Linked DNA regions of Ovis aries. The protein of the gene in region 2 binds, or shares a complex with, the protein of the main gene of each other region. Links are inferred from orthologs where the notes say so. Each region holds a gene or a part of one and is shown on either strand. Other genes may lie near its edges. The genes, in order: PRPF6, SNRPD2, SNRNP200, STRAP, SNW1, USP39 and PLRG1.

Region 1 (4,556 bases), on a different chromosome or scaffold from region 2:
TATACCTTAAAATAAAAATGAAAATAAAAATATGTAAAAACTTAAAAAAATAAAAATAGGACTTTCCCTGGTGGTCCAGTGGTTTCCAATGCACCGCCAAGCAGAGGGTGCTGGTTCAGTCCCTGGTTGGGGAACTCAGATCACACATGCCGTGCTGCACGACCAAGAATAAATAAGTAAATTTAAAAAAAACACAATAATAGTACTGCTGCTGCTGCTAAGTCGCTTTAGTCGTCTCCGACTCTGTGCGACCCCATAGACGGGAGCCCACCAGGCTCCCCAGTCCCTGGGATTCTCCAGGCAAGAACATTGGAGTGGGTTGCCATTTCCTTCTCCAAAGCATGAAAGTGAAAAGTAAAAGTGAAGTCGATCAGTCCAACTCTAAGCGAGATGAGGAGAAACTGTGAAGGATATGCAGGAAGTCTCCATACTATTTTTGAAACATCTCTATAACTTTAAAATTATTTCAAAATTAAATTTTTATTTTTTTATTTCAAAATTAAAATTTTAAAAACCTTTTCCTCTGAGGAAAAATACCATCTGTTGTAATATATCTATAGAAAACCTCATAGACCAAACAAGAATTAACTAGAAAGATGAGAACTAACGCAAATGAAGACAAACATTACCAGCAACTCCACTTATAATTCCCCTCATAAGGGCTTTCCTGGTGGCTCAGTGGTGAAGAAATCCACCTGCCAATGCAGGTGACATGGGTTTAATCCCTGATCCAGGAAGATCCCACATGTCTCAGAGCAAGCAGCCCAAGCACAACTCTTAAGCCTGTGCTGGAGAGCCCGGGAACTGCAACAACTGAAGCCACTACATGAGAAGCCTTCCCACTGCAACTGGAGAGTAGCCTCTGTTTGCCACAACTAAAGAAAGTTCGTGCAGCAATGAAGACCCAGCACAGCCCCCAAAAAAGAATAAGAAAAATTAGTTTCAGAAAAAAATTTTCATCTTTAAAGACCAGCCAAGATACGTCAGTGTGACAGTTCTAATATTAGCAAGTGCATCTCTTCTGAAGCAACCACAAAAGGGCACATTTCGTTGTATTTGTCCTGCTCCCCCTCACACTCTGTACACGCTGTCCCCTAACCTTGAGTAGCTAAAACAGTCAATATACCCATTACTCCAAGCCCCTCATCAAATGCCCACAGCACAGTGTCCCACACAAGTCACCTCATCATAATTGGTGTCATTAAGATCCTCATCATCGTCATCTGCAGCCTGGCTCTTCTTCATCTGGTCCCCAACAGTCCTCTTGCCTGGGGGCGCATGGCGGTCATCCACAGGATCGTTGGCATCCCGAGCAGGCCCGATGTCTGAGCGGGTGGTGAAACCAGTGGCGCTGCAGGAAACCCCAAGGCGCCCATTTATCCTGTGCCAAGACGCTTAACAGCTGTCACCTAATGACACCTTTTTCTAACTCCTCTGGGAAATCTTCAAAGAGCCCGGAGAAAAACTCCATACAGCTTTGCTCTCACACACCGCCTGTCTGCCCTCTTCAAGAGAAAAACCTAAGGAGTTTCCGAGATTCGTCTGGGCACTAGACCTCCCTTCTTCTAGGTCCCAGCCTCCCGTTTCCAACAGCCTGCCAATCAGCCCTCTCTCCCAATCCACCAGGTCCTCAATCCTATGTGGCCCAGTCAGAGTTCCTACTCTGTGCCCACCCTACAGCTGCTCAGAGTTGTTTCAGTCAATGGTGACAGTGCTCCCCCAGGCACAACAGCATCAACTTTGCTTCCTTCTCCCTCTCATCTCATTAGAAAACACCCTGATGCTGGGAAAAATTGAAGGCAGGAGGCGAAGGGGATGATAAGAGGATGAGATGATTGGATGGCATCACTGACAATGGACATGAGCGTGAGCAAGCTCTGGGAGATGGTGAAGGACAGGGAAGACTGGCGTGCTGCAGTCCACAGAGTGGCAAAGAGTCGGACACGACTGAGCAACTGAACAACAACCCTCCCATCTGTCTCCAAATTCTACAGGCTCTACCGCCAAAATCCCTCCTCCCATTCTGGCTACCCCCACATGTAGCTCTCCTTCTGCTTCAAAGCAGCTCTGAGCACAGTATACTGAGGCATCTGCCTCACTTATGCCTACAGGGGCTCTGGTCCCTCTGCTCCTGCAGTTCCACCCACACAGATTCCTTGTAATTCCCTCTTCTTCCTCCACACTTCATCTTCTTTCTCAACTGCCCAACACAACGGGTCAGTTTCTTCTTTGACCTTGCCACAACTGTACACCCTTACATCCTCCTTCAAAACTTGGCTCAGATGTTGGTGGCTGGTTGCTTTCTCTTTATGTACTTATTTACACAAATACCTCATCTCTCCTGTTAAACTGCAAGTCCAATGTGCGCCCCAGATTCTAACGTGCATAACGCTGGATATAATACTCGCAAAAGAGAAACCCAATAGTCTTCTTGACCAAATGAGTAACAAACAAATAGGATGATGATTGCTCATTTATTCAACAATATACGGTAGGCACCTGACCTGGGGGACGCAGTCCCAAGACTCACCAATGCCACCCCTACCCTCAGGGAGTAGAGACTCTGAAGAAGCAGCAATATGACCAGCAGCACCTCAGAGGTGAATGAGGTACCACGGGGAGCGGCCAAACAGAGGACTCCAGCCCGGCTCGTGGGAAGAAAATCTGTCACGCTCGAGACAGGGCTGGGAAGTCCGAATGGCCCAGGGGTTAAAGTAGCCATGGCACTCCGACTACATGACGGGGACTCGCGACCTCACCACTGCAGAGTGGCAAGACTGTGCTACCACCCACCCTGGGGACTGAAATCGGGCTCAGAGCCGGCGCACCAACTCCAACCGTCCCGCCACCTCGGGCCAGACAACCTCCCTCGGGTCTGCCCTGATCCAACGCGCTGTTCTTCCCACAAGGATCAGACTGACCCCAAACCTTCCCTGCTCTCGTCCTCCCAGTAGCCGTCGGCGAGCGCCCCGACCCAGGCCCCTTCCCTCAGCGCGCGGCCAGCTCCAGGCCTCACCCTCGGCCCAGCCCCGGCACGTAGCCGAGAGGGGCGGGCATGCCCAAGAACGGCTTCTTCTTCTTGTTCATGGCGCCGGTGACACCAAAGGCCAAGAATGTGAAAGACCCTGGCCGCGGCCAGAAGCGAACCACCACAGAATCTTTTAAGTTCCGCCGCAGGAAGCAATTGCCGCCTGCGTCACCCTTGCCCCGGAAGCAGAACACCCCGTACGACGCAGCCCCGCCCACCGTGGATTCCCCGGGCGGAAGTTCACGAAACAAGACTCCCGGCAGCTTCGGCTAAGGGGCGGAGACGCAGAGCGCGTGCGCGGGAACGCCGGTTCCTGGCCCCGCGGGCGAACCGTGTCTTGCTGGGCTAGCCCTGTGAGATCTCCGAACTGAGCAGGGGCGGCCCTGCTTACAGCCTGTTCTCGATGCATTTCTGAGACCTTCCTGTACTATCCGGACCTCTTCTTGTACTAGCAGGGTCCTTTTCTTCCCTGAGCCACACACTTTGCCCTTCAGAATCGTCCTGGCCCTGGGTCAGGGCCTAACACACCTGAACGAGCTGCACACCTAGGCCGTTGTGTAGAGCTTGGTGGGTTGTATGTGTCGCGATCGCTGTGCCCCCATGTGCAGTCTACTGCCCTGGCTCTCAACGCTCAGATTTCTGGGCCCAATTCGGGCCCTTCCCACACCCCAACTATACCCTGAACATCCCTGTGACTCCGGAGAGGGTCAGAACCCAGACCCTAAAGAGTTAATTGATGAAAATAAATGCAGCAGAACAAGCCAGTATGTGGGCATGGGTGGTCACAACATGTGGGTGGATTCCTTGTGTGTTCGTAGGCACAGATGCAAGTCAGACCATCTGTACTCATTTGAGGTGGACATGCAGGACTGTCCTGCATACATGTCTGAGTGTCCATGTGCACCTTTGCTGAGAAGGCTGTGGAACATTCTCTGGCCCCCACATATACCTGGGGAGAGCCATCAGGTTGTTGGCAGAGCAGGCAAAAAGCTGGTCACGAGTCTAGCCTTCTACTGGAAGAGGCAGCTGCTAGCCCAACCTATCACTTCTCACTGGAGTTCCGAAGCAAGCACAATGCATCTGCCTGCTGCAGCCTCCTCGGAGTTTCTCTCTCCTGTCTGTCCCCAGCCGACCCCTTTTTGACACCACGTCCTGGGCACTGAGTCAGATTCCAGAGTAACAGAAGGCAGGGAAGAGACCCTGATGTCCTCCTGAAGTTCACAGTGTTGGTGCGGGCTGAGACGGTCAAACTGGCTTCTCTGGGAAACAAGTGCCCATTCCAAGGGAGACCTCCGTAGAGGTCTGCAGAATGCATGAATAAAGGAATGGGTAAGTAAACTGACATAGGAGAATGGAGGGGAGGGGTGGGTCTGGCCATTGACCGTAGCCCCAGAGGGCAGAGGGTCCCAGGAGAAAGTAGAACCCTTTCCCCTTTCGGTCCCTGCCTCAGGTGCTCCTGCGGACACCTGGACGCCGTGCAACTGCACAGAGTCACTCGTTCTTGGACTCATGCCCAGGTGCGCACGGC
Region 2 (4,772 bases):
AAATGCTTAACTATTCTGGGTGTCAGTTGCCTCATCTACACAATGAAGATCAGATTGGTACCCACCTCATTAGGTTCATAGGGCTGTTGCTGATGCATATAATAAGATTTGAGGGTGGGGTGTGCAGTATAGAGGGCAGTGGTCTGGTGGTTAGCAGAATAGAGCTCCTATTAGCTCCAGGCAGACCCCCAGCTCTGCCACTTGGGCAGGATACCTATTTCCTATTTACTGATGGGCTGTGGGGTCAGCGGTTAGAGGTGGGGTCCTTTTACCTTTCTGACTTGGAGATTGCCCGGGCTGCCCGGAGTCCGTACAACCAGCAGAGGGCGCAGGAAAGTGTTCCAGAGACGGTGAGGGTCCAGTTGCCCCACTACCCTCCGCACCCGAGCTTCGGGGAGGCTTCCGATCAAAGGGCCCTGAGGAAGCAGGTAGGGAAGAGAAGAGCAGAGCATGAAAACGACCCTCATTCCAACCATATCCTGGAGGCTGCCCTCCTCTTCCTAGCCGCAGCCTCCAGCATCAGAGGTTTCTAGAAGTCCCTCCAAACCCATCCTGCGCAGCCCACGGCAATCCTGATGAGGGAAATCAAGGCCCAGCGAGAGGAAGGGACTCTTCCAAATAGCTGCCTTTAGGATTAGAACCCAGAACTCCAAGTCTTACTACTCCAGACTCTCTTACGGGGTAACCGCTATTACAAAACAAGCCCGAAGCCTCATTGCATTGGAAAGGGGTATGCGCTCTAAGAACGGAGACGGCGGCACCTGCAGCTAGGGCCATAAGGTAAAGACAAAGCCAGGTTAACCCAACCTAGGGTCTTCCCCATGAGACCGTGGGGAAGGGGAGGCAAGGAGTAAGGGCTTCCGCAGTGCCCATGTCCCCGCCCGTCCTCACCCGCAGTTCCCGGCCCAGCGGCAGCTCTTCAGTCTGGCTATGCCAGCTGCTCCAAATGGTATAGAACACCAAGGCTACTGTCAGAGCCAGCAGCAGCTGGGGCAACAGCTGTGCCCGCGGTATCAGGCGCCGCTTGGGCGGTGAGGGTCGCTCCAAAAGGCTGCGTTCCCCGACCGGGAGTCGGGGCCGCCCGCGGCCCCCGGAACGCATGGCAGCTTGGCCCTGAAACCGGTCGGAGACGGCGGATAGAGTTAAGGCCGAGCCAAGTCCCGCCCCATGAAATAAGCCAGACCAATGAACAACAAGAGCGGCTGCACCATCCGCCCCCCCCACGAGCAGTAAAGCAAATGGGACTTTCGGCCTGAGGACGCGGCTCCTTGTCTTCAGGGAGCTTTGGGGGTTGGTTCCCCCGGGTTGCACAACCCAAAAGGGAGAGCGTAAGAAGTAGGCGCCGCCTCAGCGCAGGAGGGGAAGCCAATGAGAAGCGTTTGATCACCGAAAACACTAGCCTTACTGGGCGCAAATCCACGCCGCTCCCGGATGGACCCTCTCCCCGGTCCAGAAAAACCAATATACACGTAAATCAACAGTTTCCGAAGGAAAGGGGAGGTGCCCATCCCTGAAGCGAGGAGGGGATTGGCTTCGCCAAGGCCGCGCCCCCAAAGGCAGAGCGGGCGGGCATTTGGAAATGGCTAGTATTCCCCTCTTTCAACCTATGCGGTTCTGCAACAAAATGGTTTTAATCAGTCCCGCCTTCTTTTCCTCTCCATGGTCGTGAATATCTGCCCAGCACTGTCTTGAATGGTGGCCTGGAGCTACTTACTAAGTAAGGCTTCTACTCGGCAGCCTCCGCCGAGGGCGGAGATCGCTATAGCAACGGGCCACGCCCCACTCGCTGGTTGGGTATGCGCAGGCGCGCGCGGAAGTGGGCCGTAGGAAGAGGAAGTCCCGCCTCTGGCTCTCTGTTCGGGAGGCACACCACGGAGGAGACGGTAGTGGCTTGAAAACGCGGTCACCATCATCATCATGTGAGGCCGGGCTGGGTTTGGGTGGCGGCAGTGGGATTGAGGGTGTAAGTTTGGCCACTTACCGGTTGAAGTGGGTAGGCAGAAGTGGGCGCGGAAGCAAACATTTGGGGGTAAAGTGGCGTATCTTTCTACTGATGAGTTGCGAGGGGACGTGGGGCCTTTGAAGGATCCTGACTTCGGGAGCGGGGACAGCTTTATCAGATAACAGGCTGGGCTTTCCCAAATAAGCAATCTTATTGAAGTGAAGTTTAAGAGGAAGCGTTTTTACGAATTAAAAACCTGGGAGATGAGGAGTACGGACTTGTAGGAAAAGCGGTCTTAAGGTAAGAGGCGTAGCTGGAGACAATTGGCTTTTCGATCACATCCGCCATTGGTATGGATAACGAGTTATGGGGATGATTTTACTTATGTAGTCACTCAACAGTTATTTATTGAGTTGTTTGTGTATTAGGCTGCTTTAGACGCATAGCTTATATCACTGAATTACTCCACTCTCCCCAAGGGAAAAAAAATCCTCTTCTACATCTTACGGGATGGGAAGAGGCAGGCAGGAAACGTGCTGGTAATAAATCCGTAAATTCTAGAATGTGTTAGGGAATAGGGTTTTGAATAAAGAAATAACAGAGCAGGGTAAAACAGCGTGGAATGTCTCTTGTGAGAGACAGAACGCATGAAGGAGGCAACACTTGAGCAAAAACCTGAAGAAAGTGAGAAAGCAAACTGCAAAGGTACCTGGGGACGTACCTAGGCAGAGGGAAAAGTGAATAGAGGGGCCCAAGAAGGTTTGCCTGATAGCTTCAAGAACCACTGAAGAGGCCATTGTGCCTGGAACAGAGTGAGGGTAAAAGCTGGGCTTTACTGTTTACACTGAGAGGGTACTCAAGAGTGAGATGATTCTTGACACCACCCTTGAGACTGCTCTGTGGAGGGCGAACTGTTGGGGAGCGTGGGTGGAGGCAAGGAGACCTAGGAAAGATGATGGAGGTTTAAGCCAAGGTAAGAAATTCAGATTCTGATAGGTTTTAGTGGCAGATGGCAGGATTTGCTGACAGATTGAATGTAGGATGTGAGAGAAGAAAGAGTCAAGTTGCTCAAAGAACCAGAGGGATGGAGTCACCACTGACAGAGATGAGGAAGGCTGTGGATAGTATTAAGTTGGGGTTATGGGGGGTCTGGAGTTCAGTCTAGGTCATGCGAGGATTGGAAATATCCATTAGGCATCCAAGTGGTGATAGCAAGAGAGAGGACTGAGTACGAAGAGAGGGATATGTGTCGGGGAGACACCAAGGGAGAGGCCATGAGCACCCAGGCTATGGGCCTGCTCACCTCTGGGTTCCATACTTGTCTTTTCAGGAGTCTCCTCAACAAGCCCAAGAGTGAGATGACCCCAGAGGAGCTGCAGAAGCGGGAGGAGGAGGAGTTTAACACGGGGCCGCTCTCCGTGCTCACGCAGTCAGTCAAAAACAACACTCAAGTGCTCATCAACTGCCGTAACAACAAGAAGCTCCTGGGCCGCGTGAAGGCCTTCGACAGGTGAGCACCAGGGTCTGGGGAGGTATGCTGTCCGGGCCTCAGTTTCCTTACCTGTGAAATATGCGTCATAATAATATCCCTCAGAACAGTAATGAGGCTTCAGTAATACTATGTATGAAAAGCACTTGGCTCAGTACCTAACACATGATAAATGCTCAGTAAACACATGCAGCCTTTAGTTAGCATTTGGGAAGTGCTTTCCTCACCGTAGATTACTATATAGCAAGATACAGAGCTTTCCCAATTTTTTTCTTTTCTTTCTTTCACTCAGTCATAGTTCCCTGTATCCTCCTATTCCTTTGTGTGTGTGCATGAGGGCTAAGTCACTTTGGTTGTGTCTGAATCTGTGCAGCCCTATGGACTGTGGCCCACCAGGCTTCTCTGTCTATGGGATTCTCCAGACAAGACTACTGGAATGGGTTGCCATGCTCTCCTCCAGGGGATCCTCCCAACCCAGGGATTGAATTTGCATCTCTTATGTCTCCTGCATTAGCAGGCAAGTTCTTTACCGCTAGAGCCACCTGGGAAGCCCCCCATCCCTTTACCTTGCGTTAGTTTTTCTTCATAGCACTTACTACCACCTGACAGTATATTACAGGTGTGTTTGTTTACCTGCTTCGTGTTCTCCCTTCACTAGCCTGCAGAGCCCATGAAGACAGGGCTCTTACCTGGTTTTTTTTTCATTGCTCTAATCATTGTAAACGTTTGTTGACCGAGCTATTCCACACTGTCATCACACATGCCCATAAGAAAAATAGTGTGTTGATTCACTTAATTTTCACAACAGCCATAGGAGGCAGGCACCATGAATGTCTCCATTTTAGAGACGAGGAAACTGAGGCGCAGAAGGTGAAGTCCTTTGCCCGAGCCTCGGAGCCCTGGCTCTCCCCCTTCCCAGAGGCAGTGCCGCCCAGAGGAAGGGTCAGGACACACCCCTCACTCAGTCCTGCTGCCTCCCCGTCCCCACCAGGCACTGCAACATGGTGCTGGAGAATGTGAAGGAAATGTGGACGGAGGTCCCCAAGAGCGGCAAGGGCAAGAAGAAGTCCAAGCCAGTCAACAAGGACCGCTACATCTCCAAGATGTTCCTGCGCGGGGACTCTGTCATCGTGGTCCTGAGGAACCCGCTCATCGCTGGCAAGTAGGGCCTCCTCCCTGCTGTCAGAACTTTCCCCCTGGTTTTGCGAAGACCTGCCCTCTGTACTTGAAATAATAAAACTGTGCGTTTTTTCTAGCAGCCTCTGCCTGTTCCCAGGGCCTAGAGAGCAGAACAGACCCCAGAGAGGGGTGGCAGGGTGTGGGGCCAAGCATGGGCTCAGG
Region 3 (3,982 bases), on a different chromosome or scaffold from region 2:
AGGCTGCCCACCTTTGCGTTCTGCACATTCCCCAGCACGACCTCGGCGTTGAGCATGTCGGGCAGCTTGGACACCATCTGGCTCTCAATGGGAAGCTGCTGGTTGAGCAGCGACAGGTAGTACTGCAGTTCCCCATGGGAGGTGATGAGGATGCCTTCGCCCTTGGTGTCGTACTGCGGCCGGCCTGCTCGTCCCAGCATCTGGGTGGAGACAGCAACCAGAGGGCCATGGCTCAGAGCTTCCAGCTCCTGACTCCAGGCTCCTACACCACAAACCTCACCCTCCACCTGCCACCTTTGGGGTATGCTGGCATCTTATACACAGCATGCTTTTCCCGTAAGAATAAACTCAGAAGCTCCATACTTGCAGGATGTCCAGCGCGCCTAGTTCAGTCCAGCGGCCCTTCTCCGGACTGTACACCTGGGTGCCTTTGATGATGACGGTGTGGGCAGGGAGATTCACACCCCAAGCCAGGGTTGCTGTGGAAACTAAAACCTACAGACCCAAGGCAAGGCAATAAGAAAATCAGACCTTGCCACCAAGGGTACCTATCCTCAACTTCTCTAGGCACCTGACTCAGGGCGTCTAGTAGGACTGAGGTTGGTCCCGTACTTGTCAATGAAACATCAGAGTGAAGAGGAAAGGAGTCTTTGGGTTCCTCATCTCTTCCAGAATCAACATTTCAAGGCTCTAGAGACACTTAAAGAGGCAGTAATGCAGACCTATCTGAATCAAGGTTGTGCTTAGTCACTCAGTCGTATCCAATTCTTTGTGACCCGATGGACTGCAGCCCGCCAGGCTCCTCTGTCCATGAGTTTCTCCAGGCAAGAATACTGAAGTGGGTTGCCATGCCCTCCACCAGGGGATCTTCCCAACTCAGGGACTGAACCCAGGTCTCCCACATTGTGGGTGGATTCTTTACCATCTGAGCCACCAGGGAAGCCCAAATCAAGGTTACTAGACAATTAAAACTACAGACTCTCCTGAGAGAAGGAATGAACAAGGTCCTGACTTTATGGGCCTTGTGTGACAGTATCTGGAGTCACCCACATCCTGGCTTTGCTGTGCTTCTCAGACGCTTTCCTAAACTTCCTCAGCTTCCCTCACGTATGATGGGAAGAGCTGGGAGAGGCGGTGTGAAGTTCCACTGACTGTACCTACCATAGCCCTCTGACCTGGGCCACCCGGGCCAGAAACAACAAAGCGCCAGGCATGAGCACGCGGCCCAGTGCCCAGCGTTTCCAGTCTCCTCGCCTGAGCTCTGCCCACCCTCACCTGGATGTGTTTATCCGCGAAGAGGTCCTCGACAAGTGTCCGGTCAACTCTGGTCATGCCCGCGTGATGGATAGCAAAGCCATAGGGCAGCAGGTCCTTCAGCTCCAGGTTCTGGGCAGAAGAGAAAGAACAGGTGAGGAAGTGAGCCTGCCAGAGGGGACTCTCCTGGAGAGGAAGCAAATCTCCTCAGCCAAGACGCTGCTCCTCGCACAGTCCACAGAGACACAGGCAGTCACACTCTGCCCCGTGAAGCAGTACCGCCAGGCAGCCCTGGAGGACGGCCCGGCCGATGCGGACTGAGCCAGCGACCGGGGAGGAATGAGGGACCCGGGCCTAACCCCCTCACCTTGCACTGCTCAGCTTCTGTCCGGAGAACCTCTGTGGAGGCCGAGCCCTCTCTCAGAAAGAGACCCAGCGTGTCCTTCTCCAGGCACATGTCCCGGATGGCCCTGGCCGTCTTCCCGGTCTCCTTCCGGGAGTGCACAAACACCAGCACCTGCAGAGGGGCCACAGTCAAGGGGCACCGCTCCAACAGCCACCCCCCACCCCCGGCCCGGGGAGTCGGCAGCAGGGAGCAGAGGCTGCACCACTAGCAGGCCAGAGACTGAGGTCTTGAAGTGGGGAGATGGCAGGAGCGCATGGAAGCCTAACGGAGCCCTCAAGACCCTAAGCAAACAAATCTGGCTCATGACGAGGACCCTGTTGCTAGGAAACCCAACTAACTCCTAACACTTTGTCTTTAATAACAAGTTTAAATATACTATAGATGAGAATTCAGGAGTCTCGATTAAAAATTTGTGTTCAGGTATCTGATGAGATTCTAAACAGTTAAGAAACATAACGGGCACTGGTCTATGTAAGTGGACTTAGTAGAAAACTAGCACCATTTGCAGGAAATAAAAGCCGTCCAAGTCTTTCTTGCCAAGGAAAGATTCGTCTCTTCCTCTAAATCCTTATGCTTCTTTCTTATGAGACAAAATACACAGTGTTCAACTAAAAAATTACATCACACTATCCAGCAAAATGCCCTTTCACTAAGTTTCCATTTTTATTTTGATTTTTAGAATATTTTTAGTGTAAGCCACTCAAATCTTTCATGGAAGAACCCCTGATGATCTAGATGGACAGACTGCTTATCTGTGCGAGGGGATTCCTTTTCTGGGCGTTTTATAACCACAGGCTCAGCTTAATGGTCATAGGACTATTCATGTTTTACCCACTTCTTCAAGGCTGTCTTGCTAATTGGTAGTTTCTGAGACTAGCCCACTTCTCCAAGGTTGTCAAATTTAAGTGCGAGGCTATTCACAGTATTCCTTTAGCAGCCTTTCAAAGTCAAAGGTAAGGGATTCTGTAGCAATATCCCATTGCATTTCTGGTACTGGTGATTTGCTTTGTTTTTTTCTTTGTCTCTATCAGCGCTGCCCAATTATCAGTAAGTCAAAAATTCAAAGAGGTCAGGAGTGACAAGAAACCATGACAGACCTGATTTTTTCCAGCATGTTCCATGATTTTCTCATAGACAATTTCATTCATGATTTGGAAACGCTTGATGGCTTTCTTCTCCGTGATGCCCACATATGTCTGTTCTAGAGGCACTGGGCGGAAGCTAGAAGTTGAACAGTCAAATCAGTAAGACTTTGGCACAAAGCACTGAATAAAAAGTCCTTTTCACTGCCAGGGAGTGACGGGCCTCTTTTAGGATTTGTACCACATCAAAACCAGGGCCATTCTAAAGCTCGAATCTAACAGAGCTCCTTGGCAGAGAAGCAAGACATCAGGAAGGCCACCCTGCTTAACTTCTTCCCGTCTCCTCTTTCACCTGTTGTCAAAGTAGAAGAGGCCCTTGGCAGGATCTACACGCAGAAAGGTGGCCACGTCTTCATAGTTGGGGAGGGTGGCGCTGAGGCCAATGAGGCGGACATCCTCCTGGGTCATCTCGATGTTCCGGATGGCCCTGGCCACCAGCGCTTCTAGGACAGGACCTCTGTCATCGTGGAGAAGATGGATCTCATCCTGAGGGATGGGAGGGCGGCAAATTACCTTTGGGACCAGAGAAATGAGGGCCCCTTTCCTGAGAGTAGTCCCGTTTTCCAAGTACATAACTACCATTGCAAATGAAGAAGACAAGAAAAGGGATCCCAAGCCAGGGGACCTCAAAGGATGAGACAGCATTCACCGTGAAACATCCCAGCAAACGTGCTCTGAGCATGAGCCGCTTTGCTCCAGTTCAGTGAACAATGCGTTACGGTCAGAGAAATCTGACACTTGGGTAAATGAATTCCTAGCTCACCTCAAAGATAGATTTCTTTACTAAAAATGAAGCTTCTGATGAGACCAAATTTGTATCAGATTAAGTTTCACCTCTAGGCAGTTATCTTTACCAAGAGCAAACAATATGATGTATCAAATAAAGAATAAAGGCGGTGCATCCCAAATCTCAGCAGGCATTCAAAGCATATGGAGACCTTACTGAAATGCAGACTGTATTTCAGTAGGTGGGAGCACGGCAAGGGACTTTGAATTTCTAACAAGACTTTGAGTAGCAGGCTCTTAGGTGGGAGCACGGCAAGGGACTTTGAATTTCTAACAAGACTTTGAGTAGCAAGCTCTAAGCAGGGGTCGGCCAACTTTTTCTTGAAGGCCAGAGAGTCAGCATGTAAGGTCTCCTTTCTGCTTCCCGGAAAAACCTAAAGAAACTACTCTCAGA
Region 4 (4,416 bases), on a different chromosome or scaffold from region 2:
AAGTGAAGTCATTCAGTCGCGCCCAACTCTTAGTGACCCCATGGACTGCAGCCTACCAGGCTCCTTCGTCCATGGGATTTTCCAGGCAAGAGTACTGGAGTGGGTTGCCACTGCCTTCTCCACCCTCACCTTCCAGTCCTCCACAAATCTTCCTTGTATGAGAAGCACTTTTACTTCCTATTTTTCACATCCCATAATTAACAAAGGAGTCTGTCACATTATAAGCATGCATGCCGACCTCTAAACCAACATTTGACATTAAAGGATTTACATAAAACCAAGCAGTTCCTTATTTTATCAGAATTGCATAGACTCACAATAGGGCAGAGCACAAACCCTTACAATGGTTATGCATAAACATAACAACATCTATTCTTTGAAGGCAAAGAAAAAAGTTCAAACTGACATTTTAATTTTTCTTACTGATCTATCATCTCAAATTTAATCCCACATCAGCATGGGATTGTATCTCCCTCTGTTTATTTAAAAATTCTATTAAAAAAAAATTATGTATTGTAAAACTCACTCCACGGCACAGAGCTCTACAAGTTTCAACAAATACAGTCATGTATGCACCACCTCAATCAATCTGCCTTTATTTTTCATAATAAACCTAGTATGTTTAATTTGCTTAATACAAAGGCACAACAAACACATTCACAATTGCTCTTTAGTGTAAAATTCTGTTTAAAAAAACCAATTTTTAAAAACCTCTTTCACTCTCAAGACTCTCAACTCTAACAGTCTACACATGTACAATAACCCTTGACATTGCCTTCCTTTAAACATTTAAGTGTCTGCTAAGTCATAAACATTAGGAAGTAGAGGTACCAAGGTTATGTAGGACATGACACACATGAGCAGACAGGAAAGTGGGTCATTGGCAAGTCAGCTTAATAATATATGCAAAGCCAAAAATCAGAGTAAGTAAGGTCCCTTCTGTCAACAATGAGTATAACCAGACTGTGGGGCACGGGGTGTGCAGGGCAGATGATGATGGTGAACTAGGATGGGCCAAAGTGTAAAGAGGCAACAACTGAAATTTAACCTTTAGGCCGATGATTAAAGGCTGCACATCAGAATCACCTAGAAGAACTTCTAGCAAGGAAATAAACTGTTGTTGGGGACTTTACAGCCCCCCCACCCCCACCCAGACCCATACTTATATGAGTATTTTAAAAGCTTCTAATAATGTATGCCCAAGGTCATGGATCTCTGACAAACCAGAGTTAAGACAGGAAAAGCATTAGCTAGAGAAGTGACCTGATATTTGTGTTCAGGAAAACTGATAGCACCAGGGAGGATGAACAGATGAGAAACGACTAGTGGTAGGGACCTGAACTAAGATGGCAGTGGCATAAGAAATAACGGCATCAGCAGACATTCTGCTAGTGCAGTCAACAAAGATGACGATAATCTAGATGCAAGGGGAAAATCAACAATTTAGATTTCACCCCTACACAAAATGAAGTCATTTGAGTCTCTGTGAACAGTCTGAGAACCATTTAAGAGAAAGAAGCAAGTAGGATCAGGCTGGAATTCTGGTGCGATCAAACACGGGGTGTTCCATATGGTAGGCAGTAAGAATTTCACGAGTAACCTTTAACAACGTTTTGATCATTTCAGAGCACAATCCACAGAGAACTCCGAAGGTGGCCATTTCTGGCTGCACTTACGCTGTGAAATCTGCAGCGGCTGTCGCTGCCTTGGTGGCATCTTTATTCAATGTTGCGCCCCAAACGGCACCCTTATGACCCAAAAATGTTCCAATCCAGTCTCCTGTATCTCCCTGGCGAAGCATAGGCTTACCATCTAAAAAATATTGAAGAAGACATGCGACTTAGAAGTTCGGAGGACTTAAAATCTAAGACTCAAACATAAAACGATCATATTGAAAAACAAAGTGGAAACTGTTTTTGTTGTCTGAACTATTCTCACTCACTGGGGTCACTAAGGATTGTTCAGAAATAAATTCAATGAGAAACCCAGCTGCACATTCTCTCTGGGAAGCATCTGTAACTAGGTGAAGATTGACCTGCGTCAAAACAATCTAGATTTGAGTCTTATTTTGGACAAACTTCTTAACACAAATCTCAGCTTCGATCACACACCCACACACACAGCTTCCACTTGAAAGGTGGAAAACGGAAGTGAAAAATTCCATACGAGAAGAGACTATTCAATAAGATAACAGGAACGCTAAGTCTTCGTAAAGTAAGGCCTGGCCTAGTTGCTGCATTCTGCCAAATCCTTGAGAGATATTTACACTGTTTGTTGGCCGGGACGTTTAGGCACGCGCACAGTTCAGCTTTTCCAAAAATAGCAATAAAGGTAAAACGAGAAGCCTTCTTTAGGGGCATTACTTAGCAAAGCCTCTCGGCGTCAGCTGCGGAAGTCCTAACAACTACTCCTCTCCCCATCAGCCCGCCGTGGGGCCCTAACCTCAAACGCTGCGAGAGCCGCAGTTCGTTCCGCAATGGGGATGCCAACCTCGTTCGCTTTCCGCCCGACCTCAGTCATCAGGGGCCCGACTAGCGGCCCCGCTCACCTTTGCAAGCGCTGATTAGAAAATAGCCATAAGGCGTGATGCCACTGAAGGCCAGATCCACCACAGGCCGCGTGTGGCCGGAGCAGGTGAGCGGCGTCTGCCTCATCGCCATGGCGGCGGCGAGCCGAGAGATCGCGCTGCAGAGCCGAGGGGTCGTCTAGTCTTTTCTCTCCTCTGTGGCAGCGCCTCCGGCTCTTCAAGGCCCCCGCCCCGATACTGACGCTGGGCCAAGGCACAGAAAAAGGCCAATCCGGTGGCCCCAAGGTCAGGAAGGGGTTAGGGACGGGTCAGGGAGTCCGCGACGGGAGACCGACCGCCGCCGAGGGAGGGAAAGGGAAGGAGGGAGGAGAGTAGGGGAAGGGGAGAAGCGGAGAACGGGCGGCCACGACCCGTACCGTCCACACCGGTACCGACAGGAAGTGACGACACGAAAGACGCTGAGCGTCCGCCGGAAGTGACGAAGTAGCGGGAAGGCGGATTCGCCCCGCAGAAGCTGCATACAGGCGCGAAGACGGCAGCGCGCCGGCGCGAGAGCACGTACGGTGGACGCCTGACGCTGGCCCCCGCCTGTACGCACGGCTTCTGGCGGAGCTTTTGGCTCTGGTTCAAAGTGGGGGCGCGGATCTCTGAGCTCTCACTCCAGAACGGCAGTGGCCATGGAGTTTCTGGGCAGAGTTGCCAGGTGCGAAAGCGGGTACTGCTCACTTGAACCTGGCGGCCTCTGTGGGTTGTGCACCAAGCCGTTCAGGCGGTTGAACTGTGCTGGGTGTGTGAACATCTACCTCTAGTTGTTTCCGGCGATGACCCAAACCTGCAAACAGTAGGAACTTTTTTTCATTCCTAACAGTTATATAAGAAACCTCCTCCGGGATTGTCTCCAGGGCCCTTAAGTACGTTCCCCAGCCACGTAACATTTCTCCATTGCTAGTATTTTGAACGGGCTCTGTGACTTTAAGTGAAAGTGAAGTCGCTCAGTCGTGTTCGACTCTCGTTCGACCCCATGGACTGTAGCCTACCAGGCTCCTATGTCATTTCCTTCGCCAGGGGATCTTCCCAACCCAGGGATCGAGCCCGGGTCTCCCACATTGTAGACAGACGCTTTACCGTCTGAGCCACCAGGGAAGTCCTGTGACTTTGAATACAATTAATTTCCAATTACTTTTTCTTTTGAGGCCTTCGAAGGACTCTAGAACAGTGATCCTCAAATTCTTTGATGAAATACACCAGTAAAGCTTGAGTTCCCATTCCCAGTATACGGATAATAATTTGTAAGTTCAGTTCAGTTGCTCAGTCGTGTGCAACTCTTTCCAGCCCCATGGACTGCAGCACACCAGGCCTCCCTGTCCATCACCAACTCCCGGAGTTTACACAAACTCATGTCCATTGACTCGGTGATGCCATCCAACCATCTCATCCTCTGTCGTTCCCTTTTCCTCCTGCCTTCAATCTTTCCCATCATCAGGGCTTTTTTAATGAGTCAGTTCTTCACATCAGGTGGCCAAAGTGTTGGAGTTTCAGCTTCAACATCAGTCCTTCCAATGAACACTTAGGACCGATCTCCTTTATGATGGACTGGTTGGATCTCCTTGAAGTTCAAGGAACTCTCAAGAGTCTTCTCCAACACCACAGTTCAAAAGCATCAATTCTTCAGCGCTCAGCTTTCTTTATAGTCGATCTCTCACATCCATACATGACCACAGGAAAAACCATAGCCTTGACTAGGTGGACCTTTGTTGACAAAGTAATGTCTCTGCTTTTTAGTATGCTGTCTAGGTTAGTCATAACTTTCCTTCCAAGGAGTAAAGTGTCTTTTAATTTCATGGCTGCAATAACCATCTGCAGTGATTTTGGAGCCCAGAAAAATAAAA
Region 5 (3,734 bases), on a different chromosome or scaffold from region 2:
TCACTTTGTGTAGTGTTTAGATGTCAAATTATAATGTTGTAGTCCTGTATTTTCCTCAAGGGAAAAAAGAAATCTCTAGCAGTTCTTTTCTGTATCAGGAATGCCTAATTGTAAAACCCTGTCTCTTCCAATAATCATGTATCTGAAATACTATAAGAAATGGCATCCTAATTGTGCCTTATCAAGGAATATATATGTTCATAAGATGTGAACTGGACATATTTATTTCCTCTGCTTCTGATAATGGTTGTATTGAAGTTGAAATTCATCTTGTCTGTGAAGAAGTTTCAATTTGTGGCATGGTATTTCAAAACAGGTCGAAACTACAGAGAAATGAAAATCGAGACATCAGTGAAGTCATTGCTCTTGGCGTGCCCAACCCTCGGACTTCCAATGAAGTTCAGTATGACCAAAGGCTCTTCAACCAATCCAAGGTACACAGAGTCTAGAAATAGCATATCTTTTTTTGTTTTTTTTTAGAAATAGCATATCTTAAGTGTTGATACAAATGACAATTTTCAGGGAAAAGAAAATTAGCATATGAGACATTTGCATCAGCCTAAGGTATGCTGGTGTGATGGGGAAAAAAAAATCAGAAGTTGCATATTGTAACTTAAGAAACAAGTTAGAATAGCTCTTAGAGTTGGCTAGGATTTGAGACACTGTTAGAAAATGAAAGAAATTAGGTAGTAAAACTTGGTTCTGGTATGTGAGTCTTTTATTTCTAGAATAGAGCCAGTGTCCTATAAAAGTGTCTCTTGGGTTATTTTTTGTCGATATTTGCAAAAATAATTTTTTTATGCTATAAAAACACAAACTTGGGATCTTTGAAAAATGAAGCTATAAAACCAAAGTACTCATCAGAAAGTCTGATTTCTAGTATCAGTTGTCATTAACTAGCTAGAACACCTTAGGCCTGAGGCAGTCCCTTTATGTTTTAATTCACCCAACATTGATGATTTACTGTATGTAAGTCAGTGAGATCAAAGGTAGACATGTCTTAACACTCAAGGAACCTGCAAGTCTACTGGAAAAGACAGATACATGTATATAAATAAAGACAAGGCAGACTGTGCTGAGAATACAGAAGTATAAATGTCTTCTGGGGTATAGAGGGGTCCCATCTCCTCCTGCAAGGCTGGGAGTCACCCTGCGGATTGTTCCAGCAAACATGCTGAGAGCATGGTATCCGAGTCACAGCAGGACAGACTCACGGACCCACCAGGGGGGTGACAGGGTACATACGTCCCCAGCACGACTATAACCACATCAGGAGAACCCAGGTCCTCGCCCCTACTCTGCACCAGCTGAGTCAGGGCCTGGCTTCCCGCTTCTAGGCCATAACCATGGTTCAACAGAGACCATGACCCCTCACACCCCAGGATACCGTTTCGTGAATAACAAAGTCTACCTTCGAAACCAAAAAAAAAAAAAAGTTGAGGAAAAGTTTTATCAAAAGGCACATTCTTATATTAACCATCACAAAACAAGTTTGTTGACTTGAGATTTTCATTGAGAATATTGTGTTACACTTCAGTAGTGTTCTCACACAGTTAAGGAGTTTAACATTACTATAAATGGCATCAGATAAAATGCTTTGCAGTTCTTTCATCTTGCCACTGTGTCTGCACAAATGGATTGTCAAGTGCCTGCTTATACTAGTATCCTCCAGTTTTAAAGACCACTTTGCTAAAACAGTCGTTAATGAGTACCATATTTAATGTAAGGACCCAAAGGTGATATGAAGAAAAAAGAGTAACTGTGACCGTTTTTTTTTTTATTGAAGGATAATTGCTTTACAGACTTTTTTGTCAGACCTCAACATGAATCAGCCATAGCTATACATATATCCCCTCCTGTGACCATTTTTTAATAACCTTTTTAATTTGTAGTTCAGATTGTTGAACATGTAAGCTGTAAATGAGCAAGGGTTTACTCTTCCTAAGAATGTAATCTGATTCAACTTATAATAAAAACTTGCATACTTTAATGTCTATTTTTCCACAGGGTATGGACAGTGGTTTTGGATGTGGGGAAGATGAAATTTACAATGTTTATGATCAAGCTTGGAGAGGTGGAAAAGATATGGCCCAGAATATCTACAGGCCCAGTAAAAATCTGGACAAGGACATGTATGGAGATGACCTAGAAGCCAGAATAAAGACTAACAGGTACCAGGGCAGACCGCTCAGTTTTAACATCTACACCAGTGAAAATAAAGTGGTTCATAGCCATTTCTCTTCTTCCCTAGATTTGTTCCCGATAAGGAGTTTTCTGGTTCAGACCGTAGACAAAGAGGCCGAGAAGGACCAGTTCAGTTTGAGGAGGATCCTTTCGGTTTGGACAAATTTTTGGAAGAAGCCAAGCAACACGGTGGCTCTAAAAGACCCTCAGATAGCAGCCGTCCCAAGGAACATGAGCATGAAGGCAAAAAGAGAAGGAAGGAGTAGATACTTTGTTCAGAGTGAACGAACTGTTGTTGATAACCCTAATGATGCAAGTCATATGGGGAACACTTTGTACATGGCCAGGATAAAAACCAAATCTGGGTGTCAGAGCCCAGCACTACTTTTTATTACAGGAGAGGGAGGGGGGTATGGAAAAATTCTACTTTGAATTATTTAGTTTTTTTAAAAATGGGTTGTGTTTGTGCTTCTCCCACCTTTTGGCATTTATAGAAAATACTGCCCCACACGTGAAATTAAGGCCACTTTCAAGAGACATTAGTACTTTGGGGTTAATATTTTGTCTAAAAATGACTGCTTATGAATAAAGTGACCCCAATCACAGCAAGTAGAAAGAAGGATGTTCACATATTGGAACTGTCCTGCCAAATGATGTTTGCCCCTGTTGTGCTGTTGATTTGGAGCGGGGAAAGTAAGCTCTTGCTTGGTGCAGCTATTTGTTTCAAATAAAAACATTTAGACAAAACTTCCTCTCTTTTATTTACTTTATTCAGTAGGCAGTGAGGGTCTCAAAAATCTTTCTCTTCATCAGATGTTTGGTCTCCTTGCAAAGCTTTGGGTTTTTGAGGTTGAACATGGAGCTGGGGGGGGGGGAAATTCAGCACTGTAAGGAAAGTCAATGTCTGCAAAAACATTAAAACTGAAAACTGCTGTTCTATGAGGGATCAGCACCAGTGAGCCAAAGGATGTTATTTGTTCCTTGTACTTAAGGCTCCCTGAACTCCCATTAAAATTTGTAAATCAGTCTAGCCCAAGGTCACATCAGTTCAGTTCAGTTAAGAAGCTCAGAGTAACTGCAGCATGCCAGGGTTCCCTGTCCATCACCAACTCCCAAAGCTTGCTCAAACTCATGTCCATCCAGTTGGTGATGCCATCCAGCCATCTCATCCTCTGTCATCCCCCTCTCCTCCTGCCTTCAATCTTTCCCAGCACCAGGGTCTTTTCTAATGACTCAGTTCTTCGCATCAGGTGACCAAAGTATTGGAGCTTCAGCTTCAGCATCAGTCCTTCCAATGAATATTCAGGACTGATTTCCTTTAGGATGGACTGGTTGGATCTCCTTGCAGTCCAAGGGACTCTCAAAAGAGTCTTCTCAAGGTCACACAGTAAGTGGGAAAGTCAGTATTTCAACCAAGGTCTCCCTGGTGTTTCCACTGTTCCATTATCTTGCTAACCACTAAAGTGTCTTCTTGTACTTAAGTCTCCAGACCTTTTAGAACTGGGAACTCTCCCACCATCACCATTCTTTAATAAACATTAAGTTACAAA
Region 6 (3,706 bases), on a different chromosome or scaffold from region 2:
AAATTTTTTTTAGCTGAAAGGGAACCTCTCTACCAGTGCTTTGTAAACTTTAATTTCATACCCTTCAGAGGGTCTTGTTAATCAGTAGACTGTGATTCAGGAGGTATGTGAGGGGTCTGAGATTCTACGATTTCTAACAAGTTCTCATATGATGTCAATGCTGTGAATCCAAGGCACTTTTGGTGGCAGGTGCTAGTCTAGGACAGTGCTTCTCAATCTGGCTACATACTGGAAATCTGAGAATTTTAAAACTATCAAGATGCCTGGGTCTCACCTCCAGATAATCTAATCAAGTCTTAACTCCAACATTTTGGACCAGAAAACTCTTTGCTGCCTGTGGGGGCTGCCTGTGCATTGGAAGATATTCAGCAGCATCTCTGGCCTCTGCCCCAATGGAAAATCAACAGGCACAAATTACAGTTTTCACGTAACTGGTCTGGGATGGCCCAGGCTTCAGCAGTCTAAAACCTGCACCCCGGGAAGTCCCACGTGCAGCCAAAATTGAGAACAGTTGCCCTAAACCGGTCACTGACAACTGTTTCTCACAGAATCCCAAAATCAAGGACAAGAAAGAGCAAACTGAAAGGAGCTGCCTTCCAAAAGGCCAAGGGAATACCACCGGCTTCTGCCACTCTGCACAGTGAGAAGTCAGCCCTACTCACATGATGGAGCACGTGGATCCGGTAGGAGCCCTCGGAGGGTTTGCCGTCGTGTACAATGTTGGCGATGAGGTCATAGGTGGTATTCTTGTGCACTGCCTGCACTTCTTCAGACAAATACTCTCTCAGGTCCACATTTCTGAGAATGAGGAAAATAAAGTGAAGATCAGACAAATCCTATGAAGTTTGCCCTGTAGAGGTTAACTGTCCTCCCTAAATGGACCACGAAGCTGTGGAACCCTATTTCGGGAACTTGGGTCTAGGTGGGCTTGAATAGCTAGGGAGCCCAGGTTTGTGGATATTTATAGTTTGCCACAAAAATGGGTCTAACTAGGAGGACTGGCTCTATGGGAAAAGCATATTTTAAAAGCATGCCTAGGGCTTCCCAGGTGGCTCAGTGGGAAAGAATCCGCCTGTCAATGTAGGAGACACAGGTTCAATCCCTGGTTTGGGAAAATCCCACAAGCCGCGGAGCAACTAAGCCTGTGTGCCACAACTATTGAGCCCACAGGCCTCAACTACTGAAGCCCAGGTGCCCTAGAGCCTGTACTATGCAAGAGAACTACGAAAGTGAGTAGTCGGCCCACCGCAACTAAAGAGTAGACCCCCTCTCACTGCAACTAGAGAAAGCCCACATGCAGCAATAAAGACCAGTGCAACCATAAATTAATTAATTTTTAAAAAGCATGCTCAGAGACATTCCTGGTGGTCCAGTGGCTAAGACTCTGCACTCCCAATGCAGGGGGCCCGGGTTCCAACCCTGGTCAGGGAACTAGATCCCACATGCCACAACTAAGAGATTGCATGCTGCAGCTAAAGATCCTGCAACTGAAAGATCCTACAACTGAAAGATCCTGCATGCTGCAACTAAAACCCTGCACAGCCAAATAAATAATATTTTTAATTAAAAATTTAAAAATAAATAAATAAAAGCATGCCTAGGGGAGTCATGCCTCGTGGTCTTGTGGTTGGACTCCATGATTTCACTGCCAAGGGCCCTAGTTCAATCCCTGATTGGGGAACTACAATCCTTCAAGCCACGAGGCATGGACAAAAAAATATTCAAAAATAAAAATTAATGCATACCTAGCAGTCTGAAGCACACAGCTTGGAGTCATTCAGACCTGAGCTGGAATCGAGGCTCTGTCACCTCGGAGCTGTGTGTAAGTTTAAGCAGGTGACATAAGCTAAGGCTCTTCTATAAGAGAATGAGAGTCATCATCTCCTCTGAGATGAGAACAAGGGTAACCGCCTCACCCTCTGCTCTGTCAGGGAATCGGCTGCAGTGGCAGTGTTCAGGGGGTACCTGGTCTCTGGACTCAGGCTATAGCAGCCTGCTCACCTGATCATGTCAGCTATCACTGTATACAATCACTGTGACAATTTCAGTGTGGCAAAACAGGACTTCCCTGGTGGTCCAGTGGTTAAGAATCTGCCTGCCAATGCAGGGGACACAGGTTCAATCCCTGGTCCAGGAAGATTCCACGTGTTGCCAGGCAACTAAACCACCCCTAAGTTGTGATCTGCAACTACTAAGCCCACGAGCTGCAACTGAAGCTCTTGAGCCCATGCTCCACAACAAGAGAAGTTACCACAGTGAGAAGCTCCTGCACCACAACCAGAGTAGCCCCTGCTTGCCACAACTAGGGAAAGCCCATGCACAGCAACAAAGACCTAGCACAGCCAAAATAAATATATCAATTAGCTTTTTAACATACGGCAAACCAGGCAGATCATTCAGATGTGTTTTTTTCTTTGATTTTATGAGACTGTGTTTATTTGATTATTTTGCCTTTAGTCAAGTAGGCAAAATGATTACAAGTAACAGAAATCCACCTTGGGCAGCCCAAGTACAAAAGGGGGATTAACTGATTCAAAGTTTCAGACTAGGAAATGCATCAGAAACCAGGCACTAGGGAAGCAGCAAGATCCAAGAGTTACCTGCCCTCTTTTCTGCTTTGAAAAGCTTTATCCTTTTCCCATCCAGCTTTCTCTCCTTTATGGAACCCACCTTGACTCCCCCACAGCTTCCAAATTTCTCAGTTCTGGTTGTCAATAGGGACTACTGACTAGGTTCCTTCAATTGGGACTTAAAAACATCAAGTTTATTTTTAAGACTTGAACACTCATTATTTTAAACACAGGGAAGCATTCTTGATGTACTTAGAATAAAACCTCCTTTTCTGTTTCATCTGTTGATGTACAAATGTGGTATAAATGTATACCAGTTTTTATGAAGTCAAGAACTATAATACAGGCTTACTGTGAAGACGGCAATCACAACTACCAAGAACTTTCAAATGGGGAAGTAGATGGACAGTTAACATGACTATTAAGAGAAAGCTAACTATACTATTTTCAGGAAAAATATAACCTTCTGACACCTACAAATATTTATAAAAATGTAAATACATGGTAGAATAAGAGAGAGTATGTGTATGCTCAGTCACTCAGTTGTGTCCAACTCTGTGATCCCATGGACTGTAGCCCACAGGCTCCTCTGTCCATGAGATTCTCCAGGTAAGAATACTGGAGTGGATTGCCATTCTCTTCTCCAGAGGATCTTTCCAACCCAAGGATCAAACCCACATCTCTTGCACTGGCAGGGAGATTCTTTACTACTGTGTCACGTGGGAAGCCCAAGAGAGATCATATCCTTTTTCTCATCTCTAGATCCGTCTGCTGTGCTACCACTCATAACATGAAACACAGCACTATCATCTCTGGAAAGATTTACAAATGGTAACAGTGATCACATCCAGGGATCATTTCTAGATATGTTATCTCCTTTTGAATTTTACACTATGAATTTATGAATATATCATCTGTCCAAAAATACAAAAAATCTCAATGTAAACCATGTATTAATAAGCAGGCAACTTTGTTCTAACTATATTATGCAGCTTTCCATGTGTTAAGGATAGCTACTTATTTCCAAAAACTGACAGCGACCATATAGATTGCAATAAATAGTCATTGTTGTTTGGGGGCTTTGGGGATTTTTTTTGGCCCTGCCACGCAGCTTGCAGGATCTCGGTTCCCCAGCT
Region 7 (3,982 bases), on a different chromosome or scaffold from region 2:
TGCTATAGCTTCAAACAATCGGTATCTCCAGTTACTTCTCCAGGGTTTGATACCTATATTAGTAACCTACTGCTTGTGGAATAAAACTGAAACTCAAAACACAAGCTTTCCCTGCCGCCACCAGCTGTTCTCATTCAAGTGCAGCAGACAGCTCTCTGTTCCTGGAACATACACCTCTCATATGTCTGGTTTTTCAGCTCACACTTTGCCTTAGAATACCCTTTCTTTCTGTGACCTCTCAAGACTCACCTCAAACACCACTGACTCCATGAAGTCTTCCACAATCCTTCCCAAGGAAAATAAATGGGCTCTTCCTCTGTGTTATCCTGGTTTTTCACTGGCACTTCTATGACAGTATTTCTGTAGTAAGCTGCTAAAAGTGGAAGTCTTAAAGGACAGACACATCTTATCTGTATACTTTCTGAACAGTACCTAGTGCAGAACTTTGCAGAACATGCGCTCAAAAACTGTTGGTGAGATAAACATACATAAGACTTCAAAATCCTTTAATCCCAAAATATCAATCACAGATACCAGTATTTAAGGGTTTAAGAGAAAGATTACTCCCCTCAAAACATGTCCTACTATAGTAAGCAGTTTTGTAAGTTAAAAAAAATGGGGTGTGTTTTAATAGAAGTGGCAAATCATTCTGTTTAGGATAGTTACAGTCAAAAAACTCACATATGCTTGATATCTACATCTTACTTCCTAGGATCTCAAACTGTTAATTTTAGAAATAAAAACATGGGGAAGGACAGTTCATTGTAAAATATGAAAATGCAATGATTCAAGCATGAGTTTTTGCTTTATATTCCTAGCCAGAGCACAAATGACTGGATATTCTCATCAAGGCCAAGCTAAAACGAAACAAAAAAACAAAAACTGCAATGACAACGAACACATCAAAATCTCTTTCTCTTAATAATTTCTGGCTTCCAGCTGACTGGATGAGTTTCTTCTGTCTAAAAACAGAAAAGTAAGTAAGTTAAAACAAAGTATTACTGATCTCCTTCATATTTAATAAGTTCCTTTCTAACAAAAATAAGGCACTTATTCTAAATTATATTACTTGGCATTACACATTTAGCAGTTCTTTAACAATTTTAAGATAGGTGACGAACTTCTGGCACTATCTGATTATTTATTATATAATAAATATTAAGATAAATAATATTTAATATTTAATAAAGGATGAATGCATTTGCTACAAATTCAGTTTATGGTGTTTCATTTTAAATCTAATGGTTTTTAGATATTCTAGTAATACCTAAGATTCTGATTCTAGAGTTAATTTGCATAGCAATCTATTTTTTTGCTGTTATTCTTAGGATAAGATTTTCTTAATAACTCTAATAAGCAAAGTTGAGATACAATCAAAATTATCTACGGATTTGCTGTCATCAATAAAACCAATGCAACAATCTACGAGCAGACACTATTCAACATGACAAATATTTTAGTATTATGAAGATTATTTCCCCTCCTGATAATTTCAATAGTTTTAAAATGAGAAAATGCCTGGAAAATTGGCAAAGCTGATTTTTTCTACTTTAAAATATCTATGAAATACAGAACTTACCGCTGTATCATCCTCTTTGTACACTTTTATGGTTTTATCAGCTTCAGCAGTTAGTAATCGACTTTCAGACTGATCAAAAGCACAAGCAAATATTCCTGACTCACTGTCCAAAGACCCAGGCTGCACTGCTGCATGAACCCTCTGGAAATTGTAGCCAGTTCTCCAGTCCCAGAGATGCATAGTGCCATTGTCAGCTTAAAGGGAAAGACAGGTTAGACCAAGTGTCCCCTCAACAGTTCAGCCTGACAAACACTTATTAAGAACCCATCATCAGCCAAGCACCATGGAGTTATAAAGACACACAGGCACTTGAGCTCCTCTTAATATCAATTTGTCTACTTTCATTTGTGCTTAATTCATAATTTATTATAGATCTCAAAAAGCACCACAAAATGACATTTAACTTCAAAACACACAACCAAACTTTAGGTGATTTCTGGCATAAATCCTTAACTTAGATTTATCAATGCGGGAACTTAAAGAGAATTGACCTATGAAATATGCTATATGTATTATGAATTTGCATGAATACACATGTTAAACAGGCAAGTTCTATTCTAATACGTCAGTGTAATGACTTAGAAATTTTACTCACTTAAAAAAAAAGATAGACTAAAACATATTTATCATAAAAATACTTTACCTCCAGATACAAGCACTCCATCAGAATTTACTGTCAATGTGTTAATAATAGCATTGTGACCAGAAAGATTTTGAATGAAACTTCCATCTGGGAATTTCCACTGTTTTATGTTATCTGGAGAACCAGATGCAAATGTGTAACTGAAATAAGAAAAGAATTAATAATAAAGCAAACAAAGTTAAATACAATGGTGGATTTTTAAAAAATCTTATTATGGCTATATTTTGCATGTATCATCAGGATTTATGTAGTTTTGGCAAAATATTATCGTCATACCAAGATAAAAATATCAAGATAAAAAGATCTGTTCCAAGTTATATCAGATTTCTAAATTACTTTAAATGTATGATAAGTCCTAGATTGAAGTTATATTCTCCTCTCATTTCCCCAGTGCTCTACACTGAGCTAAAGCAATAAACATATAACCCCCTAAACTCACATGAAGGGCAAGGGGTGATTTAAGTGTTTTGGAGAAAACGAGAAAGCCAGAAGAAGGGAGAGAGAAGACGTGAGAGAAGGAGAGAAAGAGGCAAGAGGAAGAGAAAAGGGAGTCAGGGAGAGGAAGAAAGGGAGTGAGCGAGACAGGGATCGGAAGGAGGAGACAAGATAAATGCAGGGAGGGTGAGGAGGGAGGATAGGCAGGAGACCTTGGGAGTACCAGGGGACACGGTTTTATAGACAGCAGGTTGTGATGTTATGCTACATCTCTCTGTGAATGATGTTCATGATACCTACTATTTTTTTCCTATGTATATTAATTTCTTCATGATGAAATTAACTATTCTATGTTCAGTCCAGTGTCCAATAATATTTTTGTCCAAAACTTTAAATCTAGCAACTATTAGCTTCCATTACAACATGCAGCCTGTCACCATGATTTATTTATATTATCTCATTTGACATAATTTTTCACTATGTAGAAAGTTTTCCTCATCTTATGGAGGACAAGAAAAATACTTCACAAGGAAAATAAAGGAAATGCAAGCTCATAAATGGAACAGGTCGGAAAAATGACTAAATGACTACCAAAGTAGTACTAATTTTGCTATTTCTAAATTATACTAAGAATTGAAGGAAGAAGAGAAGCTACTTAGGAAAACAGACTTACTGTCTTGGATGTAAAACCACAGCTCTGACTGATTTTTTGTGATTTGTTAATGTGACTCTTGTTTTTCCAGCCACCAAATCCCATAATCGTATTGTAGTATCATGGCTTCCTGTAAGGAGAATCCCCAAAATACAGACCAGAAAAAAAGAATGCAAAAGGTAAATATAATAAAACCTGAAGCATTCTTCTACAGACACATATATATAAAACAAAAGTCCTATCAACCTTTGACTAACTGCTTTCTATTCTTTCAAAATACCTGGTTGATTTTAATTATTAAATGTAATCAACGCTTAATCTGAAGAGCCAGAACAACTGTGAAGACAAATGCATAACGTCATTCCTAGTGGAGAGGAAGGCAAAGACTCTCATGATTATTTGAACAAAACAAGGGAAGGAATTATTTTCTAGTCTTGAAGATTCATTGCTATTAACCATATTTTAAGCAAAGCAAGACTCAGATCAGTCCTAAAAGTCAGGGGTAGTGCGTCTTCTAACATTAATTTCTTAGACTGCTAATTTTGAAAGTATAAAACAGCACTTAGTTGTATCTAACAGCACTACTTTCTAGTCAGACATTACATGATACAAAGATTCTATGATATATAAAACTTATGATATAAAAACAGAATTAAATGTTACCACAATAAAT

What was found.
Region 1: SNRPD2 (region 2) and PRPF6 share a complex: the UniProt entries of both Homo sapiens proteins name them as parts of the U4/U6-U5 tri-snRNP complex. The link is inferred for Ovis aries from reciprocal best matches to the Homo sapiens genes SNRPD2 and PRPF6.
Region 3: SNRPD2 (region 2) and SNRNP200 share a complex: the UniProt entries of both Homo sapiens proteins name them as parts of the U4/U6-U5 tri-snRNP complex. The link is inferred for Ovis aries from reciprocal best matches to the Homo sapiens genes SNRPD2 and SNRNP200.
Region 4: SNRPD2 (region 2) and STRAP share a complex: the UniProt entries of both Homo sapiens proteins name them as parts of the SMN-Sm complex. The link is inferred for Ovis aries from reciprocal best matches to the Homo sapiens genes SNRPD2 and STRAP.
Region 5: SNRPD2 (region 2) and SNW1 share a complex: the UniProt entries of both Homo sapiens proteins name them as parts of the minor spliceosome. The link is inferred for Ovis aries from reciprocal best matches to the Homo sapiens genes SNRPD2 and SNW1.
Region 6: SNRPD2 (region 2) and USP39 share a complex: the UniProt entries of both Homo sapiens proteins name them as parts of the U4/U6-U5 tri-snRNP complex. The link is inferred for Ovis aries from reciprocal best matches to the Homo sapiens genes SNRPD2 and USP39.
Region 7: SNRPD2 (region 2) and PLRG1 share a complex: the UniProt entries of both Homo sapiens proteins name them as parts of the minor spliceosome. The link is inferred for Ovis aries from reciprocal best matches to the Homo sapiens genes SNRPD2 and PLRG1.

The regions. Positions count from the first base shown.
Region 1 is NC_056066.1:53,567,917-53,572,472, forward strand, and holds the start of PRPF6 (pre-mRNA-processing factor 6), read right to left. Parts: upstream 3,199-4,556; 5' UTR 3,088-3,198; coding exon 3,017-3,087; intron 1,352-3,016; coding exon 1,183-1,351; intron 1-1,182. UniProt on the Homo sapiens protein: Involved in pre-mRNA splicing as component of the U4/U6-U5 tri-snRNP complex, one of the building blocks of the spliceosome.
Region 2 is NC_056067.1:53,040,854-53,045,625, reverse strand, and holds SNRPD2 (small nuclear ribonucleoprotein Sm D2), read left to right. Parts: upstream 1-1,855; 5' UTR 1,856-1,917; coding exon 1,918-1,919; intron 1,920-3,272; coding exon 3,273-3,452; intron 3,453-4,422; coding exon 4,423-4,597; 3' UTR 4,598-4,689; downstream 4,690-4,772. Other genes in the region: QPCTL (glutaminyl-peptide cyclotransferase-like protein), read right to left, coding at 273-416, 892-1,101. UniProt on the Homo sapiens protein: Plays a role in pre-mRNA splicing as a core component of the spliceosomal U1, U2, U4 and U5 small nuclear ribonucleoproteins (snRNPs), the building blocks of the spliceosome.
Region 3 is NC_056056.1:104,074,943-104,078,924, reverse strand, and holds part of SNRNP200 (U5 small nuclear ribonucleoprotein 200 kDa helicase), read right to left. Parts: intron 3,289-3,982; coding exon 3,095-3,288; intron 2,882-3,094; coding exon 2,758-2,881; intron 1,772-2,757; coding exon 1,622-1,771; intron 1,387-1,621; coding exon 1,276-1,386; intron 496-1,275; coding exon 364-495; intron 201-363; coding exon 12-200; intron 1-11. UniProt on the Homo sapiens protein: Catalyzes the ATP-dependent unwinding of U4/U6 RNA duplices, an essential step in the assembly of a catalytically active spliceosome. Plays a role in pre-mRNA splicing as a core component of precatalytic, catalytic and postcatalytic spliceosomal complexes.
Region 4 is NC_056056.1:199,646,561-199,650,976, forward strand, and holds the start of STRAP (serine-threonine kinase receptor-associated protein), read right to left. Parts: upstream 2,970-4,416; 5' UTR 2,661-2,969; coding exon 2,549-2,660; intron 1,813-2,548; coding exon 1,677-1,812; intron 1-1,676. UniProt on the Homo sapiens protein: The SMN complex catalyzes the assembly of small nuclear ribonucleoproteins (snRNPs), the building blocks of the spliceosome, and thereby plays an important role in the splicing of cellular pre-mRNAs.
Region 5 is NC_056060.1:87,002,632-87,006,365, reverse strand, and holds the end of SNW1 (SNW domain-containing protein 1), read left to right. Parts: intron 1-316; coding exon 317-434; intron 435-2,007; coding exon 2,008-2,616; 3' UTR 2,617-2,931; downstream 2,932-3,734. Other genes in the region: SLIRP (SRA stem-loop-interacting RNA-binding protein, mitochondrial), read right to left, coding at 2,975-3,046. UniProt on the Homo sapiens protein: Involved in pre-mRNA splicing as component of the spliceosome. As a component of the minor spliceosome, involved in the splicing of U12-type introns in pre-mRNAs.
Region 6 is NC_056056.1:57,489,952-57,493,657, reverse strand, and holds part of USP39 (ubiquitin carboxyl-terminal hydrolase 39), read right to left. Parts: intron 1,432-3,706; exon of another isoform or gene 1,359-1,431; intron 799-1,358; coding exon 663-798; intron 1-662.
Region 7 is NC_056070.1:3,083,150-3,087,131, reverse strand, and holds part of PLRG1 (pleiotropic regulator 1), read right to left. Parts: intron 3,440-3,982; coding exon 3,331-3,439; intron 2,363-3,330; coding exon 2,223-2,362; intron 1,774-2,222; coding exon 1,502-1,773; 3' UTR 963-1,501; coding exon of another isoform or gene 903-962; 3' UTR 1-902. UniProt on the Homo sapiens protein: Involved in pre-mRNA splicing as component of the spliceosome. Component of the PRP19-CDC5L complex that forms an integral part of the spliceosome and is required for activating pre-mRNA splicing.